4 linked regions of the Arabidopsis thaliana genome follow. The protein of the gene in region 3 interacts with the protein of the main gene of each other region in a pairwise test. Each region holds a gene or a part of one and is shown on either strand. Other genes may lie near its edges.

What was found.
Region 1: the proteins of CYCD4;1 (region 3) and CDKB2;2 interact in a two-hybrid assay, tested with the Arabidopsis thaliana proteins (one large-scale study listed by BioGRID).
Region 2: the proteins of CYCD4;1 (region 3) and CDKD1;3 interact in a protein complementation assay, tested with the Arabidopsis thaliana proteins (one large-scale study listed by BioGRID).
Region 4: the proteins of CYCD4;1 (region 3) and CDKD1;1 interact in a protein complementation assay, tested with the Arabidopsis thaliana proteins (one large-scale study listed by BioGRID).

The regions. Positions count from the first base shown.
Region 1 is NC_003070.9:7,291,883-7,296,377, forward strand, and holds CDKB2;2 (cyclin-dependent kinase B2;2), read right to left. Parts: upstream 2,865-4,495; 5' UTR 2,783-2,864; coding exon 2,550-2,782; intron 2,169-2,549; coding exon 2,027-2,168; intron 1,939-2,026; coding exon 1,877-1,938; intron 1,785-1,876; coding exon 1,673-1,784; intron 1,541-1,672; coding exon 1,447-1,540; intron 1,360-1,446; coding exon 1,290-1,359; intron 1,199-1,289; coding exon 1,060-1,198; intron 966-1,059; coding exon 870-965; 3' UTR 626-869; downstream 1-625. Other genes in the region: AT1G20925 (Auxin efflux carrier family protein), read left to right, coding at 1-11, 91-143, 232-417, 501-625; AT1G20940 (F-box family protein), read right to left, coding at 3,392-4,495.
Region 2 is NC_003070.9:6,206,320-6,211,336, reverse strand, and holds CDKD1;3 (cyclin-dependent kinase D1;3), read left to right. Parts: upstream 1-1,808; 5' UTR 1,809-2,037; coding exon 2,038-2,136; intron 2,137-2,281; coding exon 2,282-2,580; intron 2,581-2,666; coding exon 2,667-2,775; intron 2,776-2,875; exon of another isoform or gene 2,876-3,191; intron 3,192-3,204; coding exon 3,205-3,330; intron 3,331-3,483; coding exon 3,484-3,719; intron 3,720-3,798; coding exon 3,799-4,056; intron 4,057-4,160; coding exon 4,161-4,209; 3' UTR 4,210-4,466; downstream 4,467-5,017. Other genes in the region: AT1G18050 (SWAP/surp RNA-binding domain protein), read left to right, coding at 1-71, 782-852, 1,095-1,375; AT1G18030 (Protein phosphatase 2C family protein), read right to left, coding at 4,659-4,769, 4,970-5,017.
Region 3 is NC_003076.8:26,140,935-26,145,881, reverse strand, and holds CYCD4;1 (CYCLIN D4;1), read left to right. Parts: upstream 1-1,888; 5' UTR 1,889-2,131; coding exon 2,132-2,392; intron 2,393-2,539; coding exon 2,540-2,569; intron 2,570-2,698; coding exon 2,699-2,785; intron 2,786-2,887; coding exon 2,888-2,986; intron 2,987-3,077; coding exon 3,078-3,282; coding exon of another isoform or gene 3,283-3,356; intron 3,357-3,418; coding exon 3,419-3,546; coding exon of another isoform or gene 3,547-3,582; exon of another isoform or gene 3,583-3,769; coding exon of another isoform or gene 3,770-3,772; exon of another isoform or gene 3,773-4,143; coding exon 4,144-4,290; 3' UTR 4,291-4,412; downstream 4,413-4,947. UniProt on the Arabidopsis thaliana protein: May activate cell cycle in the root apical meristem (RAM) and promote embryonic root (radicle) protrusion.
Region 4 is NC_003070.9:27,712,989-27,717,973, forward strand, and holds CDKD1;1 (cyclin-dependent kinase D1;1), read left to right. Parts: upstream 1-1,921; 5' UTR 1,922-2,124; coding exon 2,125-2,220; intron 2,221-2,503; coding exon 2,504-2,802; intron 2,803-2,897; coding exon 2,898-3,006; intron 3,007-3,091; coding exon 3,092-3,217; intron 3,218-3,294; coding exon 3,295-3,530; intron 3,531-3,611; coding exon 3,612-3,893; intron 3,894-3,981; coding exon 3,982-4,030; 3' UTR 4,031-4,432; downstream 4,433-4,985. Other genes in the region: AT1G73700 (MATE efflux family protein), read right to left, coding at 4,566-4,625, 4,712-4,798, 4,891-4,985.

The sequences.
Region 1 (4,495 bases), on a different chromosome or scaffold from region 3:
TCTCTATTGGGGTATTCTACAACATATTAAAAATCTCACTTGTCAGTGATAATTAACAATGCTTACTTGAGTAGCTTAATTTTCTTGAAGGGACGGGGCGATTCCTGTTCTGACTCTGATTGTTGGAGGAAACCTTCTCAATGGTAGATAAACAATAACAAATGGCTGCAGAAACTTTTTTTCCTAAGACAAAACCTTAAATCTCTGTTCTCTCTCTTATAATAATCACAGGTCTGAGAGGTTCAGGAATAAACAAGTCAGTCATAATGGGTGTGGTGGTTGTGCGTTACTTGTTGCTGCCAATATTAGGAGTTTTCATAGTACGAGGAGCGCATTACTTGGGTTTGGTTACATCCGAACCGCTTTACCAGTTTGTTCTTCTGCTTCAGTATGTCGTTCCCCCAGCGATGAATCTTGGTTCGTTCTTCAGACTCACAAAAATACTACCAAAACATGTCATCACACTGTCTTTCTCATAAACTCACTTGACCTTTTGGCAGGTACAATCACTCAACTATTCGGATCAGGAGAAAGTGAATGCTCTGTGATTCTATTCTGGAGTTATGCCTTGGCTTCAGTTTCTCTCACTGTCTGGCCAACATTCTTCATGTGGCTCGTAGCCTGAACATCCACACACACACACTTACACAAATGGGAAACAGTTGCAAATCTTGCTACTTTGAAATATTAGAGAAACTGATATATTCTTTCATTGATAAAAATGTTGGAAGGTTATACAATTGGGAATAGAGACCCAATCAAAAGGGAATATTGAAACTTCAATCATCCTAAGATAGCAGATAAATGCTTGAGACAAGCAAAGACAGAGATAGAACAAAATATCCTATTGAGAGTTTATAAAGAGAGCCTCAGAGAGAGGACTTGTCAGGCAAATCATCGAAGTAAGGATGCTCCATAGCTTTCTTTGCTGAGATTCGTTTTGCTGGCTCGTACTCCAGCATTTTCTGTGCACAAAGAGAAACACAAATTAGTCTCAGCAGAGTGATTATCTACTAATCAAGCAAGGTCTGAGAGGTGTGTTAGACACTAGAGACTTACAGATAAGAGATCAAGTCCAGCCTCGTCGAGGTTTGGCACAGCTGTGGAGAGACTCAACGGTTTCCATTGCGGGTATTCATGCCAGTCCTTGAGTTTGCTTACTCCAGGCCAAACTTCTTCGTTTGGTGTTCCCAACAACCTGAGTTTGACAGGAAAGAAAGAAACAGAACAACCAAGTTAGCGAATGTCATGTTTGTGTCTTAAAGGTAAAGATGAACACAAAGACTTACCTGAATATACGGAGGAGCTGTTGGAGCTCAGAGTCTCCCGCAAAGATTGCTTGCTTGGTCACTAGTTCAGCTACACATCAAAAAGGAAACAAAACTGTTAGTTCTTGCTAGTGACATTGAACTGAAACCAGTGAAACTGTAAGAGAAGATTTTGTACCAAAAATACAGCCAACAGACCACATATCCACTCCAGTAGAGTAATGGGTTGCTCCAAGAAGAACTTCCGGAGCTCTATACCATAGAGTTAGAATCTGTTGCAAATGAAATCATGGGGGTAAAATCATCCTGAGTTATAACTCCAGATAAACTAAGATAGAATTAAAAAAAAAAAAAAAAACTAGAATGAAACAGGACTAATGTTTCATCAACGTAGACTTATATACCTCATGTGTATACTTTTTCATTGGGAGAGTGAAGGCTCTGGCTAATCCAAGATCTGCTATTTTGAGCGTCATTGTCTTCCGGTCCATCAAGAGATTGTGAGGCTTAAGATCCCTGTAATGAAACCAAGACAAGTAGGATTAGAGATCTGTGTCAAAATGGGTTATCTCAAGTCATAGTTCTTCCAAAACAAAGACGATTTTTACCTGTGCAACACTCCATGACCATGGCAAAAAGCCATGCCTTTGCATAACTGGTACATCAAGCACTGCAATTCAAGAACATGTTTCTCTTAGCTTAAAGGGGCTTATCGGATGAGAGAAAAAAAGCAGAACAAAATCTCCAAATATCCAAACCTTGACAGTATTTTGTGGAATGTTCTGTCCAGCTTGACGAAAGCTTCTGATGAATTTCTTGAGATCAGTATCAACATACTCGAAAACAAGGTAAAGTACAGTTTTTCCTTCTTTGTTTATTCCTTGCTTAACATCCATCAACCTGTAGAAGAAGATAATCATCATAACAATAATCTCTCAGTAGAAATGCAATCACCACAAAAATAGTTGAAACTGAGATCACAACACAGAGCTTCTACTTTGACATTTTCTAGTATTCGGATAAGATAAGGAACCCATTTTATCTCGATCGGACCACACAACAAATAGCAAACTGAAACTAAGATCTACCAGTAACACCTAAGAGCGACACTAAGCGCGATTTGCAGGAAGAATCAGAGTCATCAAATCAATTGAGACATCAATTAATCGGGACTAAACCCTAGAAATCGAAATTGAGTCCTAAATCCACAATCAAAACCAGTAAATCGGAGAATTTCAGAAAGTGACTGAACCGAATCAGAAATGTAAAAGGAAATCGAACCTAACGATGTGAGGATCACGAGCGAGCATACGCAAGATAGAGATCTCGCGAAGAGTAGTGGGAGGAACACCTTCTTCATCCTCATGGAGACGCGTCTTCTTCAAAGCAACGATCATCCCAGTAGCTTTCTCTCTTGCTCTGTAAACTTTCCCATAAGTCCCTTCACCTACTTTCTCAAGCTTTTCAAAGGCTTCCATGGCGGAAACAGCGGGTTTAACTCCATTGTTGTCCATCTCTATCAATCTCTCAAGACAACTCTTCTTCTTCCTTCGCGAATCTCAGATTTTGTTTTCAATTTGGGGAAAGAGAGAGGAAATGTAATTAGATTCGAGAATTGGTTTAAATAGGAAGGAGATTATTAAAAAGGTATATTCCCTCTTTGAGCACTCATGTTTTTTCAACGGTTCTTTTTTTCTTTTTTCAAAATTCAAAACTGGAGCGTCGTCATTAGTTTTTTTTTTATGTTCTGTTTTTAAGTGTGACGTGGAAAAAGTGAATAACCAATGTTTGTCAACATCCGGAGACGGTTTAGCTACACGAAAGGAAAAAAAAAAGGGGAGAGTTTGTTTTTTGGTCAAAAGGTGTGAGTTTGTTGTTAGATTCGACAAAACACACAAGATGGGCCTTTATTGGGCAGGACGAAAAATTGACAAGCCAGAGAAGAACAAGTTCTTAAACAACATTGTCTTAAATGATTTTTTGTCCCAAAAGAAATAGTAATATACAACTAATTTTTAGATTTGAAATACATAAACCATAATAGTGCAATGATAAAAGCAAATGGGAAACAAACATTCTTATAAATCAGGACATTTTTTGTATAATCTATAGGCCCTAAATGTTTACTTGGTGGTATCAATGAGTCCCATAATCGAATTTATATAGGAGATGCGTCGGTCATTAGAAGCAACAAGCACCTTCTGTTGCTCATCCTCCTCTACAAAGAACAAGGAGGGCGTCAATTTATAGAAATCTCGGACGCAATTGGGCCAAGCAAGGGTTGACACCAAAACTCCCCAACTGTTAGCTTCCATGTCGTACACATGAAGAACACTTGCCAAAGGTTCTAAACCCATCTTTTTCACCCTCACCACAAGACACTTGCCATCGTACATAGCTATGTTCCAATATACAAGCGTTTCTTCCTCGATAGATATGTTCTTGATCCGCCTTGTGAGTGTCCATTTGTGATTCTCGACAAGTGTGTAAACGGAGATTGTTTCTATCGTCCCCGAAATTAGGGTCAGGCGATTGATCTTAACGCTTTCCGCGAAAAGTAGCTTCGTATCCGGTTCCCGATGAAATATGGAAGGAATCAAGCATGCTTGCTCTGTCTCGGGATTAAAAGACATGATGCTGCCATCGTTTCTCAGCCAGTGAAGAGTGTTGTCCAAGTAAACAGGTTTCATCCGCGTAGTGAGATCACTTTTTGAGCTAGTGGTGATACTCGTTTCCGATAATCTCCAAGAGTCTCCTTCGTTGATCTCGAATCCGTATACGTTTTCCATCTCGAGTATGCCCACGATCTTGAATCTCTTGGTTGTTAGATTTCGATTTACCGCAAATCCAACGCACATCGCTCGTTCCGTACAAGCAACATTACCTCCAGGATAACTAATTCCGCTAAGACCTTTAAGTCCACCATTAACTATCATTGGTATAAGCTTTGATCCAGAATGATCCAGGATTCGAAACCTTTTTGTTAAGGGATTTGCAACAAAGAGACAACCAATGTACAATAGGAGAAGACCAGAGCATGAGCCGAAAATGTAACAATCCGCACTACCATCAAACAGTTCTACTCCATTTCCCGGTGACATATAATCGCATGAAGAGACCAAAGGATGGCAACATACATAAGTAGCGCCATAGCTACCAAGGTTAAACAAACTAGGTCTGACCCATGAAGGATATTCCGGTCCAAATCTTGGATCACTTAAATATGA
Region 2 (5,017 bases), on a different chromosome or scaffold from region 3:
GATTATGCTCTGAGAACTGGACATAATCCAACATCTCTTTGGCACTCCAACCACTCTTCCTCGACCACGAGGTCCTGTAGATCCCGACGAACTTGATGACAGATTGCTCATCTTTCAACTGGAAATAAAAAAATTGGGAATCGATTTAGGGTTCTTGAGTTTTGAGTTTGGGGTTTTAGATTTTGGATTTGGGATTCGACAATGGATCGGGTTTTAAAAACGAATCCGGGTTTTTTTGGTTTGGTTTTGACCGATAATATGGTTTCGTCTCGGGTTTACGTATCAAACCGAAGTAACCACGATTCGGGGACATTAAGCTCTTGAACTTTTAATTGGTGGGGAAATAGACGTTTAACTTTCATTTCATGGGTAAATAGCAAGAGGTCAAAGATCGGGCTTCATCTAGCCAGATGCGATAGTTCCCATGGGGAAATAGACCGTTTTTCCGTAATGTTCTGATGTTAAACAGAATGGTTTTATAACATAACAGTTCATGTATGTATGATTTGGTTCTTACCGGTTAAGTAGATAATGTATGGTGAAAATGGAAAACGACGTCTCTCACAACAAAAAACAACTAAAACCCAAAATCTCGACCCAAAACCGAATTTAACTTCAAATTAAGTAAATATGGCCCGAAGTTATAAGCCCGAATAACAGAGGCCCATTATAAAACCTGGAGCACAAGTTTCTCGTCTATAAGTGCTAGGCTACGCATAGGGCTCCGTGGATTTGTTCTAAGAGGATATTCTCCGTTGATTTGCAATTGTCAATTTCCAAGCTTCAGAACTAGAGTTCGTTCGTTCACGACGTCACTGTGGCTCTCGCGGCGTGGCTGTTACTTTCCGGTGGGTGAGGTACGGTACTTGTTATCTCTCTCCGAAACCCTAAGTAGTCCTTGGATATGTATCTTTGCCTTTTCTTATATTTACGTTTAGGAAGATAATTCGTTTTCTTGGTAGTTTACCCCTTGTATAAATATAGTCATATAGAGCTCAGGGTCAAGTGATAATCAACACATTCAATCGATCTCTTTGCATCTCTTGTCATCAAGGGTTAACTTTATCTATTATTTTGTGTTTCTCTTTGTATAGAAAAGAGATGTCGAGTGATTTGCAATCGAACTCCGGCAGATGTACCTCCGAGGACTAGATATTATGCGGATAGCTCAGCCCGTTTGGTTTTCATGGAGGGGCCTGAGATGGAGAGAAAGATGATGACAAGCTATGCGGGAAACCCAAAGTACTCCTTCTTCTGGAGCTCAGATCGTTATCATGCTTATTACCAGAAAAAGCTTGCTGGATACCGTGCGCAGAATTACATGAGGGACCTGAGATCAAACTTAGTGATTATGGGATACCTGATGTTCCATTGAGGGTGAGGGTAAGGGAACCACCGCTTCAGATTCCAAAACCTCCTCCGGGCTTTGCTAGTGACCAGAAGCCGACAATGAAGTATCCGCCTCCACCACCTCGCAAGTATGCAGCTATACTCCCTGAATGGATTACTGGCAAAGAGCTTGAAACTATCAAGGAAGGGGATATGGACGAGAAACAGCAACGATAGCTCTTAAGAAATCAGCTAAACTCTAGCAAAAACACGTGGATTGCTAATATGCTTTATAGGTTATAGGTTAAATTTGTTGAGGTATAAAACAGTCATTTCAAAAAATCAAAAATTCACGATTAATTTAGCTATTGTTTAAAAGTTTAGATATTAAATAATATTTTTCTCTTTTATAAATCGAAAATGTTTGGATATTAAATGTATAAAAAACTAGAAAAGTAAATAATTGGGCGTTTCTCTTTATTTGTTGTTTCCCTCGATTAGCCGATTGCGTCTGCAAACGCGCCAACGGCTACTTTTTCTCCGGAGCCGGAGCTCTCAAAGCTGAAACCCTAAATTTTCCCGGTATCTTCCTCATCGTCGATTTTACTCAATTTAGAATAAAAATCGGAAAGCAATCGAATTCTAGCGACGTGAATTAAGAAGAAAGAGAGAGGCGCGATTATTGAGTGGGTTCTGAAAAACCCGAAAATGCCGGAGCAGCCAAAGAAAGTTGCTGATAGGTATCTCAAGCAAGAGGTTCTTGGGCAAGGTACCTATGGAGTCGTCTTCAAAGCCACTGATACTAAGGTCATATCTTTGCTGATTTTTGTTTGCAAAATTAGGGTTTAGGATCTGTCGGCAATTCCTAATTTCTCCTTCTTTTTTGGTTCCGGATTTTGATTGAAGTTTTTGTTGGATCAAGGGGAAGTAATTGTGGGGTGTAATTTTGCAGACGGAACAAACTGTAGCAATTAAGAAGATAAGGCTTGGTAAACAAAGAGAAGGTGTAAATATTACAGCTCTCAGAGAAATCAAAATGCTCAAAGAGCTAAAGCATCCTCATATTATTCTGCTCATTGATGCATTTCCTCACAAGGAAAACTTGCATCTTGTCTTTGAGTTCATGGAGACTGACCTCGAAGCAGTTATTCGCGATTCTAACATTTTCCTCTCACCCGCCGACATTAAATCCTACCTCCTAATGACATTTAAAGGACTTGCTTATTGCCACGATAAATGGGTTTTGCACAGGTACATTTGTTTATCCTTAACAACTTGCTTATTGTCTCTGTAATGTTGCTTGGTTTGGGCACTGATTATGTGTGGCTTGAGTTCAGGGATATGAAGCCAAATAACTTGTTAATAGGAGTTGATGGACAGCTTAAGCTTGCAGATTTTGGCTTAGCACGTATATTTGGTAGTCCAAATCGTAAGTTTACCCACCAGGTATGCCTTTTGCCGCATTGCCATTTTATCTATTGCTGTAATATAACCAAATTGATCGACTAACTCATATGAAATATTGATAAGAAAGTTTTAAGTAGTTCTTATCAGTAGTTATGTCTAGGGATGAGGAAGATTAGATGTCTCATGTCTTTTCATTTCTCTAGTTGTATACTAAATGTAACATGTATTAAACAGTCTCAACTCATATTAAATGATGGTGCAGTAGCTATCTCATATCTGTACTAAAAGTTTTGCTGTTAACCGGATTTTTGACCTGAGCTATTTCTGCCTTCTTTGTTTCCCTTTGAACACCCAAAATTACAATAGAATCCATGTGAGCTCTGTTTCCAAATGCGCAATGCAACTTATTTTCTCTTGTTTCTAGTTGTTATATTATCTTCATATCTTGATATATCTGATAATGCACAGGTGTTTGCTAGATGGTACAGAGCACCAGAACTTTTGTTTGGTGCAAAACAATATGGTGCTGCAGTTGATGTTTGGGCCGTTGCCTGCATATTCGCCGAACTTCTACTACGCAGACCATTTCTTCAGGTTAAATAATCTTACTCAAATCTAATGGCTACCATTAAAACTTTAGTCCAATTGTCATCTCTTTGGATGTTATACTCACTCTCAGACTACATAATTACATATTCATTATCAATTTTCTCGGTATGTTTACTTATTCTATTTTTGCCGTTGCAGGGAAACAGTGATATTGATCAATTAAGCAAAATATTTGCTGCTTTTGGGACACCAAAAGCAGATCAGTGGCCGGATTTAACAAAGCTTCCAGATTATGTAGAGTATCAATTTGTCCCTGCACCGTCTCTACGTTCTTTATTCCCAGCAGTTAGTGATGATGCTCTCGACTTGTTGTCCAAAATGTTTACCTATGACCCAAAGGCTAGAATTTCCATTAAGCAGGCTCTAGAACACAGGTGCCTAATGTTCACCATCTGTTTATAGGCAAAGTATATCTAGCGTTCTGCTCTCACACCTTTGTTTTCATTATTTCAGGTACTTCACTTCTGCACCTGCTCCTACTGACCCGGCTAAGCTCCCAAAGCCCGTTCCTAAGCAGGATGGTAAATCATCTTACGGTAAACATGAGGCCATTACAGTGCAATCACCACCACGTAAGCTTAGAAGAGTGATGCCTGAGCGTGGGAGGGTTGATAGTTTGAAGTCTCATGTTGACAAGGATCAACAAGCACCCATGTCATTAGATTTTACCATCCTCGCTGAGCGACCTCCAAACAGGCCAACAATCACCAGGTAAAAAACAAGACAGTTTCTCCCTCACTGCATATTAATCTCATTTGTCATTACAGCCTCAAGATTGATTGTGTTTTAATGACTTCTTCTTGTTCAATTTGTAGTGCTGATAGATCTCATCTGAAGAGGAAACTCGATCTTGAGTTCCAGTAAGACTGTTGGTTATGCACTCTTCTCTTAGCTTCTCCATTTTCATGTTCTGGTGAAACCACACCATTGTTAAGTTGTCAATTTACTGCTGCTTGTGTAATCTGGCGATTTATTCTTTTCCATATTTAGCTTGATTACAAACCAGAGGGACCTTAGATTCACAATGATAATATTTTGTTGTCCCATAGGCTTTTTATTCATTGTAAACTGATCATACTGTACTATGAAGTCTATGATTATAAAGCTTTCTACTTTTTGCTTCTAGAATTCTTTGCGGTACAAAGAGAGCTCTGTTTAATCTTCAAACTCATTTTTCTTTCGATGGTGGCCCCAGGAATTTAATTGATCCATTGACAGCTCAAAAAGATTTTACCAAATACCAACAACAGGTTTATAAAACACATACGAGCCAGAAAAACAGATGCCCACATGTCAGTCAGGCTCTTCTTTAGTCATACCCGCTTGAAGACTATCACGATTGCTGTGCAGTTGTCTTTGCAACGACGTTCTTTCACAGCTTCCTTCACAAGACGGCGACTTACCGTGCTTACATGCAAGCCCTCCTACAAAATCATAGTTCTTAGCCTCTTAGTTTCTCACATTTAATTTCCCTTGACACTCTTTACTTGTGTGCACAAGGTTCTAACAAGCCATTTTGCTCACATGGCTACCGAAAAACATCTGTTTTTTGAGCTTCTTTCTATGTAGTTAAAGAGAGTGTGAAATGGAGGACAAAGTGATTTTGACAACTGTAGGTATTTACCTTCAAAAGTTTCTGGACAAATCCAACAGCATCACTTGGTCCAAACAC
Region 3 (4,947 bases):
CTTTTTTTTGCTTTAACTTAAACTTTTGTTTCTTCTCACCGCTCGAAAAGATAATCAAATTTAAAGACAGTAAAAACATCAAAGTTTATTAGCTGACACGTGATTGTCACAATCACGTTATTACTATACTTACTACTACACTACCAACAAAATAAAAGAGCACCTTGGTAAAATGATATAATACATTTCTTTTATATCTTATAAAATTCTACAAACCGAAAGATCAAACATGCTCGCGGTCGTATAGTTTTTTTTTTTTTTAATTTATGTTAAAGGGTTTTTTGCGGTCGTATAGTTGTAGACTTGTTTCTACTTTACAATTTCAAAAAGCTGTGTGTTTTGGTGCGCATCGGTGATTTCTAAAACTTAGTTGGATAAGAATATATTGTATGAACAGGAGTTTATCTTTACAATTTTTTAAGACTCCGACTGATAATGAAGAAACGAGAAAATATGAAAATTGTAAGAATAACAGATATAATATAGAATGAAATTTGATTTTTGAAAGTAAGATAATCGTTTTCAAGGAAAAATTTTCTTTATTATTGCAATGAATTTTGTGTAATTCATTTGCTTCCTACAAAATACGACTTTGTTAACTAAAATGACAATGAGCTAATGTTTGATGTTTCATTCCATAACATGACTATATAGTAGTTGAAAGTTGAAACCAGTGGCTCGATGACTATTTGCCATGTAACCTCAAGCAAGAAATTCTCGTGTGGTGTTTTCAAGCAACTCGTCGCGTAGCTAGCTTTATTTTCATGTGGTAGAAAATTACTAATTACTATTTATAAATAAAAAATACTAATCTCCTTACAAATATACTAATGTAGAATCTTTGGAGGTGATAGAGCACTAGTTATTGACCTCAACTTGCAAGAGAACAAAAATAAATACTTTTATAAATATTAAAAACCTTATAGTTAAATCTTATAAGTTGGGTAAAACAGAAGACAGTATATTTGGGTAAACTAAAACCATATTAAAGAAAGACCATAATGTGTAAAAAACAAAGACCATATTGTGTAACAAACAGAGACCATATTTTGAACTTAAATGAGTATATGACGTAGTTCTTATACAAATATACAGTCTGCTTTTTCATTCAAAGGTATATGCAATGATGATAGATATTGAAATTATTGTGTCTAAAAGTGACCCTAGAATCAAAAAACAGTGGTCAAAGATCTACCAGAGCAAATGGTTCAAATATCATTATAGATGGATTTTGAGTCAAATTTTACATTCAAAACTTCTTTTTATTTGTGGCATGAATTTACATTAGTTTTTTTGGGGTCATTTTTATTTTGTTCAATGTCGGATATTGAAAATAAAATATCATGATTCAGCGTATATTTCGATCATAATATCAAATTGCATTATTTAGTCAAACAATTTTGTTAAAAAATATTTCCTAAGATTTATAGAATTCAATACTGTTTTAAACTATTAGTCAAACTATATATATTTTACTGTTATTAAAACAAGGAATAAAATTATGAAATATCAAAAAATATGTAAAGACATATACTATGATTAAATCTTTCAACATTCAATATTTTACCATTGAATATACAAAAATGTTAACTGTTAACTATGCATACAAGACCGAAATACAAATTCCAAAAAACTTATGGCGCAAATCTGATACCGAACTACCAACGATATTCACTCGATTCATCATCTAAAAACTAAAATACAACGAATAAAACCAACTAACTTTTCAATTCTCACCTCAATTTCCTACCACATTTTCATAATTTTCCAACTTCTCACATTTGTTACCATGATAGTCAATTCACTTTCTAAAATCTTCAAATTTTATCTTACATTTTTCATCTTCTTCACCATTATATATAGCCTCTCTCCTTCTCACACAATCTCCATCTTACCCTAAAAACCACATTTCTTAACTTCCTCAATAAAAAAAAGAAAAGCTTCACCCTTTAATTTTACCCTCAACCCCAAAACAAAAACCCCTTCCTCCACGAGGGCATACAGAAATATCAAAGACCCAATCTTTCTTTCACTTCCCCAATCTCTAGATGACAATCTAACGATACAGTTCCTTTTAGATCGATTACCAAATACAAAGGATCAATTTTTCTTACATGAACACTCTGTTGTAATGGCAGAGGAGAATCTAGAACTGAGTCTTTTATGTACAGAGAGCAACGTTGATGATGAGGGCATGATTGTTGACGAAACTCCGATTGAAATTTCGATTCCTCAGATGGGTTTTTCTCAATCGGAGAGTGAGGAGATTATCATGGAGATGGTGGAGAAGGAGAAGCAGCATTTGCCAAGTGATGATTACATCAAGAGACTTAGAAGTGGAGATTTGGATTTGAATGTTGGAAGAAGAGATGCCCTCAATTGGATTTGGAAGGTCTGATTCTCTATTTGATTTTGATTTCTGGTTTTGAAATTTGGATGTTGATTGGTTTTGAATGATCTGTATAAGCTCAAATTGTGAAAAGCACAATCCTTTTGATGAATGATCTGAACATAAAGAGTGTGTTGCTATGTCTATTAGATCAGAGGCTTATGCAGAACAGATAGAGAGGTTTTGTCTTAAATCTGTAAATCTGATGCTCAATTTCCGATCTTTCACACTTCAATTGACAATAGATTCACTTCAGTCTCAGAGTTTTAGATCTCTAATTGATCTTTTCTTCTGTTCTGATTACAACAGGCTTGTGAAGTACACCAGTTTGGACCATTGTGTTTTTGCTTAGCAATGAACTACTTGGATCGATTCTTATCGGTTCATGATTTGCCTGTAAGTTCACATTGGTTAAACTAAAAGATTGATAATGTTTTTAGCCATTCATCATCAAAAAGTCTCATTTTTTCGCTTCTTGATTTGTGATTCTTCTTGTAGAGTGGCAAAGGTTGGATATTGCAGTTGTTGGCTGTGGCTTGTTTATCATTGGCAGCCAAAATTGAAGAAACTGAAGTTCCAATGTTGATAGATCTTCAGGTTCTCCTCTAAACTCGTTAAATTGTCGAGATGTTCTATTCGACCCGACAATGTCTTGAATCGATTGCGGTTTGATCACATTTCGGAACAGGTTGGAGATCCTCAGTTTGTGTTTGAGGCTAAATCAGTCCAAAGAATGGAGCTTTTGGTGTTGAACAAATTGAAATGGAGATTGAGAGCAATAACTCCATGCTCATACATAAGATATTTCCTGAGAAAGATGAGTAAATGTGATCAAGAACCATCCAACACATTGATATCTAGATCATTACAAGTGATAGCCAGCACAACCAAAGGTGAAAAAAAAAGTCTTTCCTTTATGTTTTATTTTCTTGACCACTTTTGTTTTTGTGCTTTTTTGGGTTTTGTTGTTTTTTTCACTTTTGCTTTTTATGATTTTGGATTAAAATGGTGGTTGTGTCGAGTGAGCAGGTATTGACTTTTTGGAGTTTAGACCTTCTGAAGTTGCTGCTGCTGTGGCACTTTCTGTTTCTGGAGAATTGCAGAGAGTACACTTTGACAACTCTTCCTTCTCTCCTCTTTTCTCACTACTTCAAAAGGTAAAAAACAATCCACCAAACATCTCAAACTCATAAATCTATTGTTTTTTAATACCAAACACACACACACATATAAAGCAGCCTTTGGTGGTTCAATTTCAAGGAAATGCCAGTTGTGGAGAAGTTTGAACTCATTAAAGATGACACATTTATGTGTATATATGTGTGTGCACTAACTTATTCATTGCATACACATAATATGTGTAATTATAAATCCAAAAAGTAAAAAAAAAAAAAAAAAAAAAAAGAGAAACCGGTTAATGGGTCTGAATCCTTTGACTTCCAAAACTAGTGGAGAGTAGACCAAAGACCACTTTAAATTATATTATTCTCTAGCTATGTGTCTTGTGACTCTCTCTGTCACACACACACATTCACTGCACAGCCTCTAGTCACATCTAAAACCAATCTGCCCCCACAAAAACATGTTTGATTCTGATTTGATCTTGCAATCCAAAACATCAGCCTGGTTTCCATTAGTTGTTTTTCTACACCAGAAAAAGCTGAAGAGATCTTTGTGTGTTGTGTTTGTGTTTGTGTTCAAGAGACAAAAACAAAAGTGTCAAGCTTTAAACTTTGTGGTTCCTTTTATTGCAGGAGAGAGTGAAGAAGATAGGGGAAATGATAGAGAGTGATGGCTCAGACTTATGTTCACAAACACCCAATGGGGTTTTAGAAGTATCGGCTTGTTGTTTCAGCTTTAAGACCCATGATTCTTCTTCTTCTTATACACATCTTTCTTAAAAAAAAAACTGTTTTTTTCTTACATTATTATAATCAGTATGATGTCTGATGAGAGGTTGAAAAAAGAGGACAATAAATCAAAGCAAAAATTTTTAAATAAATAAAAGTGTATTAATTTCAATATTTGATTTGTTTATAGCTTTGGTAATACTGAACAAATAAAATTATAAGAATTTTTTGTTGGCAGGAAATAGCAAAAAAGAGAAAGAAAATAAAACAAAGGAAAAACAGAGCTTTTTTTAATTGGTTCCCGCCAAATAAATATAGCGGGAAAAAACCGTATCGGTTCTGTTGAGCGTTAGAGTTGACCTTTTTTAATTCAAACGGTGCCGTTGTGAGATAAAGCGCGCATCGCACTAATGGGCTTAGAATTGGGCCCACGAACAGAAGTCTTTGACTTAAAGTTGACGTAAAGAGACCAAAGCTAGGTTGTGCTTTATGGAGCTTTTGCGTTTTATACCTTTTATCAACAAAACTCCAAAATCCCAATATTTTATTGAAAACTTTTTAACAAAAAATAAATAAAATGATTGGACTCCAGGTCCACTAAACCTCTAGGATCTGTAACTATGAAGAAAATGGGCCAATGCTATATTCATTAAATTTAATCATTTGGGTCTACCATTGTCGCATGGCATACTAGCAATTTGATGATCC
Region 4 (4,985 bases), on a different chromosome or scaffold from region 3:
TCCAAAGAACCAAGGATCTTCTCATCTACCCGAGGCAGTTGCATAAACCCTAGTTTTTTACAAGAAAAACAAATAACACGCTAAACATTGCTTCGGAATCAAAATAATAACCATATAATTCTCAAATTATAGCGAATAATCCTTACCAAAAAGAAATTATAACGGAAAATTAAAGATGAATCCGAATAAATAATTGTTGAGTAGAAATAAAGAAAAATAAAAAATAGAGAAGGTGAAAGAAGATGTAGAGCTCCCTTCAATCCAAAGAAGAGTAAAAGCCATTAAAGGGCAAGTTAAAGCTCCTGAGATATGCAATCCATATAACCAAATCCTTTTTTACTTTACAAGGATTAGGGCTTATGGGATCCATAGCTTAGCAGCTTTTCTTTACCCTGCTCAACTCATGTTTGAACTTTAAGGAGCTCTACTTCCATCGTCAGATCAAGATCTATCGAAAAACAAAGTATCTTGTCAAATATATTATGGATCTGACATAAGCAAACTGTAAAGACCTTTAACTCTTCATAAAACAATGAGAAAGTTTTGATGAGAACGTGGATTAACAAAAACACCAAAAGAGGTAAATCTCTTACATTAGAGCTATGAAGGAGATATAAAGACAGAACAAAAGAGAGGAGGAACCCTAATTATTAACCCTAAACATACTTAGAGAGAAGGAAAGAGAGAGAGAGAAGAGGCCACGTCATGTTTTGGAAGAAATGATAGATAGAGAGTCGTAATTATAGTGGTTTAGATATTCGTGATAGAAGAATAAAAAGAAAAGAAAAAAAGGAACAGGTGGGTGCATCTGAAAAGACATGGGAAGGGTCTGACATTGTTTGTGTTAGATTCCCTACGCGTCACATGCGTCCTTCTCGGCTTTTGTGCTTCACTCTTTTTTTTTTTGGGTAAAGATAATAAAAATAACAATTATTATCGTTCCTGCCAACTACTAGTCCACTACATTTTTAAGATGTAACTTTGAAAATGAATTTGGCCGACCATTCTTTATTTCTTTTAGAAAATAATGTACAAGTGTTTCCGTTTGGTGACCTAATTCTAAATCATTTGTTAGCCCTAACAACTAGAAATTTCAACACGAAATAGTGAAATAGGTTGATGTACGGTCAGGATTATAAGTCTGATGATGTGGGCACGAAAGCAGGTAATTATTTCTCTGTCTGAGCAGAATCTATTGCTAGATTTATTACAACGAACTTGTCTTATTACCCTCACGAGTCTCGTCTCTTTCACAATTCAATGGCTTATTTTTAAGTGTGTTTTTTTATCCATCGTGTAAGTTTTTTTTTGAGTTGTTTAAATAAAAATTTGTATGATGAAAAATGTTCACTAGCAAAATACTTGACCCTGAAGTATCCTAAATTTTTCTGGTTCATACTCAAATGTTAGGCTTACTTTGTTTTCTTTGGTCACCTAAAAAAAAGTGGACTGATCAGCCTAATTATTTGTGCAAACTTTAATGATTGGGCTGCATCTCTTTCTTATGAGCCCATTATATGGGCCCAGAAGTTAACAGTTGCTTGTCTAACCTTCTCGGAATAGTTATTTGGGCCTTATATTTGGGCTTGATTCCACGCTTCATGAAACGGAAGTTAATCCGGTAGTGTTCTCCTGGTCCATGCTGCGGAAAATATGAGCAAGGTTAATTTGGCAACTTGTTGATGCAGCTTTTTATTTTCTTGGATTTTTTTTTTAATTTCTAAGTATGTTTAGGCAATGTTCCAATATTCATACAGCTAAAAAAATGTTAATATTCACAATCATCTTTTGTTTAACCACTAACTTATAACATTTTAAACCGAAGAATAATTGACGAGTCAATGTTGAGTAAACCGGAACAATTTTGCTTTTCATTTATAAACCTTTAAACGACGTCGTTACGATAGACGCTTCCAGCTTCGTTTTATTTCTAGCTTTAGAGCGTCTCTTTCCTTTTTCGTTTACTTTTCAATATTTTCCCCTAAAAATGTCGATTCCTTCTGTAATTGCTCTAACGGCTACTTTTTCTCCAGAGCATCATAAGATACCTCAACGTTAACGATAACAAATTAATTAAGATCAGTTTCGATCAATTGCTTGTGATCCGATTAGAGAGTTCCGGAGATGGAACAGCCGAAGAAAGTTGCTGATAGGTATCTAAAGCGAGAGGTTCTTGGTCAAGGTACTTATGGAGTCGTCTTCAAAGCTACTGATACAAAGGTGAAGATGATTCCTCTCTCAATTCTTCATATTTTTTGTCGATCCCATCGAAACTAGGGTTCCAATTCTGTCGTGTGTCTTTTGACGTGTCTCTTCCTGGGAACAATTTGGTTAAATCTGATAGCTCTTAGGTTTTAAATCAGCTAAAGTTTCGATCTTTACACTAATATGTGTTCTTAGAAGTCAAAGTTTGCATTTTTATGTTCTTAATGGATTTAAAGTGTGTAGTTTTTGTTTAAGTTTGTATAAGGAAGCTGATTTGTTTTGTTGTGGCAATTTGTAGAATGGAGAAACTGTAGCGATCAAGAAAATAAGACTTGGTAAAGAGAAAGAAGGTGTGAATGTAACAGCTCTTAGAGAAATCAAATTACTTAAAGAGCTTAAGCATCCACATATAATTGAGTTGATTGATGCGTTTCCTCACAAGGAGAATTTGCACATCGTGTTTGAGTTCATGGAGACTGATCTCGAAGCAGTTATCCGAGATCGTAATCTCTATCTTTCGCCTGGTGATGTCAAATCTTACCTCCAAATGATATTGAAAGGTCTTGAATATTGCCATGGCAAATGGGTTCTGCACAGGTACTATCATTGGAACTTAGAAGCAGAACTTGTTCTATCTCTAATAAGGTCTGTTTTGATTTAAACTTATGGATGATCATTCGTATTTGTTTCAGAGATATGAAGCCAAACAACTTGTTGATAGGACCCAATGGACAGCTGAAACTTGCAGATTTTGGGTTAGCACGTATATTTGGTAGCCCAGGTCGTAAGTTTACCCACCAGGTATGCTTTGTTTGTTGTGACAATGCTATTTATGTAGTAGTTCTGCTATCTTTCGTATCTTGATGTCCTTTAGCAATTTTCATAGGTGTTTGCTAGATGGTATAGAGCACCTGAACTTTTGTTTGGTGCAAAACAATATGATGGTGCAGTTGATGTTTGGGCTGCTGGCTGCATTTTTGCTGAACTTCTATTACGCAGACCATTTCTTCAGGTGAACCTCCATTTTGATTGTGTAGTAATCCAGTGCATCTGTCTACTTGTTTATCTAACTTACTTATTCCATTGCAGGGAAACAGTGATATTGATCAATTAAGCAAAATCTTTGCTGCCTTTGGGACTCCAAAAGCAGATCAGTGGCCTGACATGATCTGCCTTCCTGATTATGTAGAGTATCAATTTGTCCCTGCTCCTTCTTTACGTTCTTTACTCCCAACGGTTAGTGAGGATGCTTTAGATTTGTTGTCAAAGATGTTCACCTATGACCCCAAGTCTAGAATATCGATTCAGCAGGCTCTAAAACACAGGTACCTAAAAATCTCCCCTATGGATAATGCATAAGAACAGGTTATTTAGTTTTGTTCTCAAACCTTGATTTCTTTTTAAAGGTACTTCACATCTGCACCTTCACCTACTGACCCTTTAAAGCTCCCAAGACCAGTTTCCAAGCAAGATGCTAAGTCATCTGATAGTAAACTTGAAGCCATTAAAGTGCTGTCACCAGCACATAAGTTTAGAAGAGTGATGCCTGACCGAGGAAAGTCTGGTAATGGTTTCAAGGACCAGAGTGTTGATGTCATGAGACAAGCTAGCCATGATGGACAAGCACCAATGTCTTTAGATTTCACCATCTTAGCTGAGCGGCCACCAAACCGACCAACCATCACCAGGTAAAAACAATTGGTTTTATTACAGTCAGTTCTTGGTCAGCTTAAAAAATGAAAACTTTTGATGAATTCTTGATTTTTGGATTTGCAGTGCAGATAGATCTCATCTGAAGAGGAAACTTGATCTCGAGTTCCTATAGGATATCGCGTAACAGGCTTCTTCTTGACGTCGTTCTTCAGGTTCCTATAGCCTATAGGATCTCTCTTACTGGTTGGTTCCGTTCAGTAATTCCTGAAATTTTTCATATCACAACTAGTGATGACGAATAGTTTGAATCATTCTTTCTGTCTAAAATAAAGAATATAAAGCACAGATGATTAACTAATCATCATGTACACCCTTCATAGAAAAATCTCTGTTTTTGGCCTATGTTTAGAAGAGAGCTCTGATCCCAAACTCATTCTTCGTTCATTTCCAATTTAAAGTCCAGAATTTTTAGTATCGAACACGTTGGTGTATTACATATATGAATTTTTGATCTCATTACACTAATGCTCGATGAGAATGGAAACACATCCAAGGAATTTCAATAACTATGTAACAATGGTAAAGTTTTCTAAAGACCAATGTACGGCCACATCAATTAGAAATTCCCAATAAGTTCATATGGGCATACAAGAATAAAGCACTCATTAAGCTCATTTGCAACTGCTTTTTCCTCAGACGTTTATTGATCATTGGACGTCACCATCTTTGTCATCTGAAGATCCGACTCTGTTCGTAGCTTTCTTTGCCTAATCATGTAAAACAAGAAACAGAATCACATTATGGCAGAGTTATTATACATATAAAACTGAGCCGATCAGTTAAAAGGTTTTACCTCTTTATCCCAGTTTGTGAATATAGTGACTAAGGAAAGACACAACACTTGAACAGACAATGCTGTTACGATTCCCAGCCAAAGCCCCTACAATATGAAAATACCACAAAATAAAAGTTTCTATAAAACTAGTCTTGTGTTTGAACTTGAGAATGAGAAGGAGAGTTTAAGATTATTACCCGACCACCAATGTGGAAATGGAAACCAAGTAACAATCCTAATGGAACTCCAACAAGATAATATGATCCAAGATTCACACATGCTCCAATTTTCT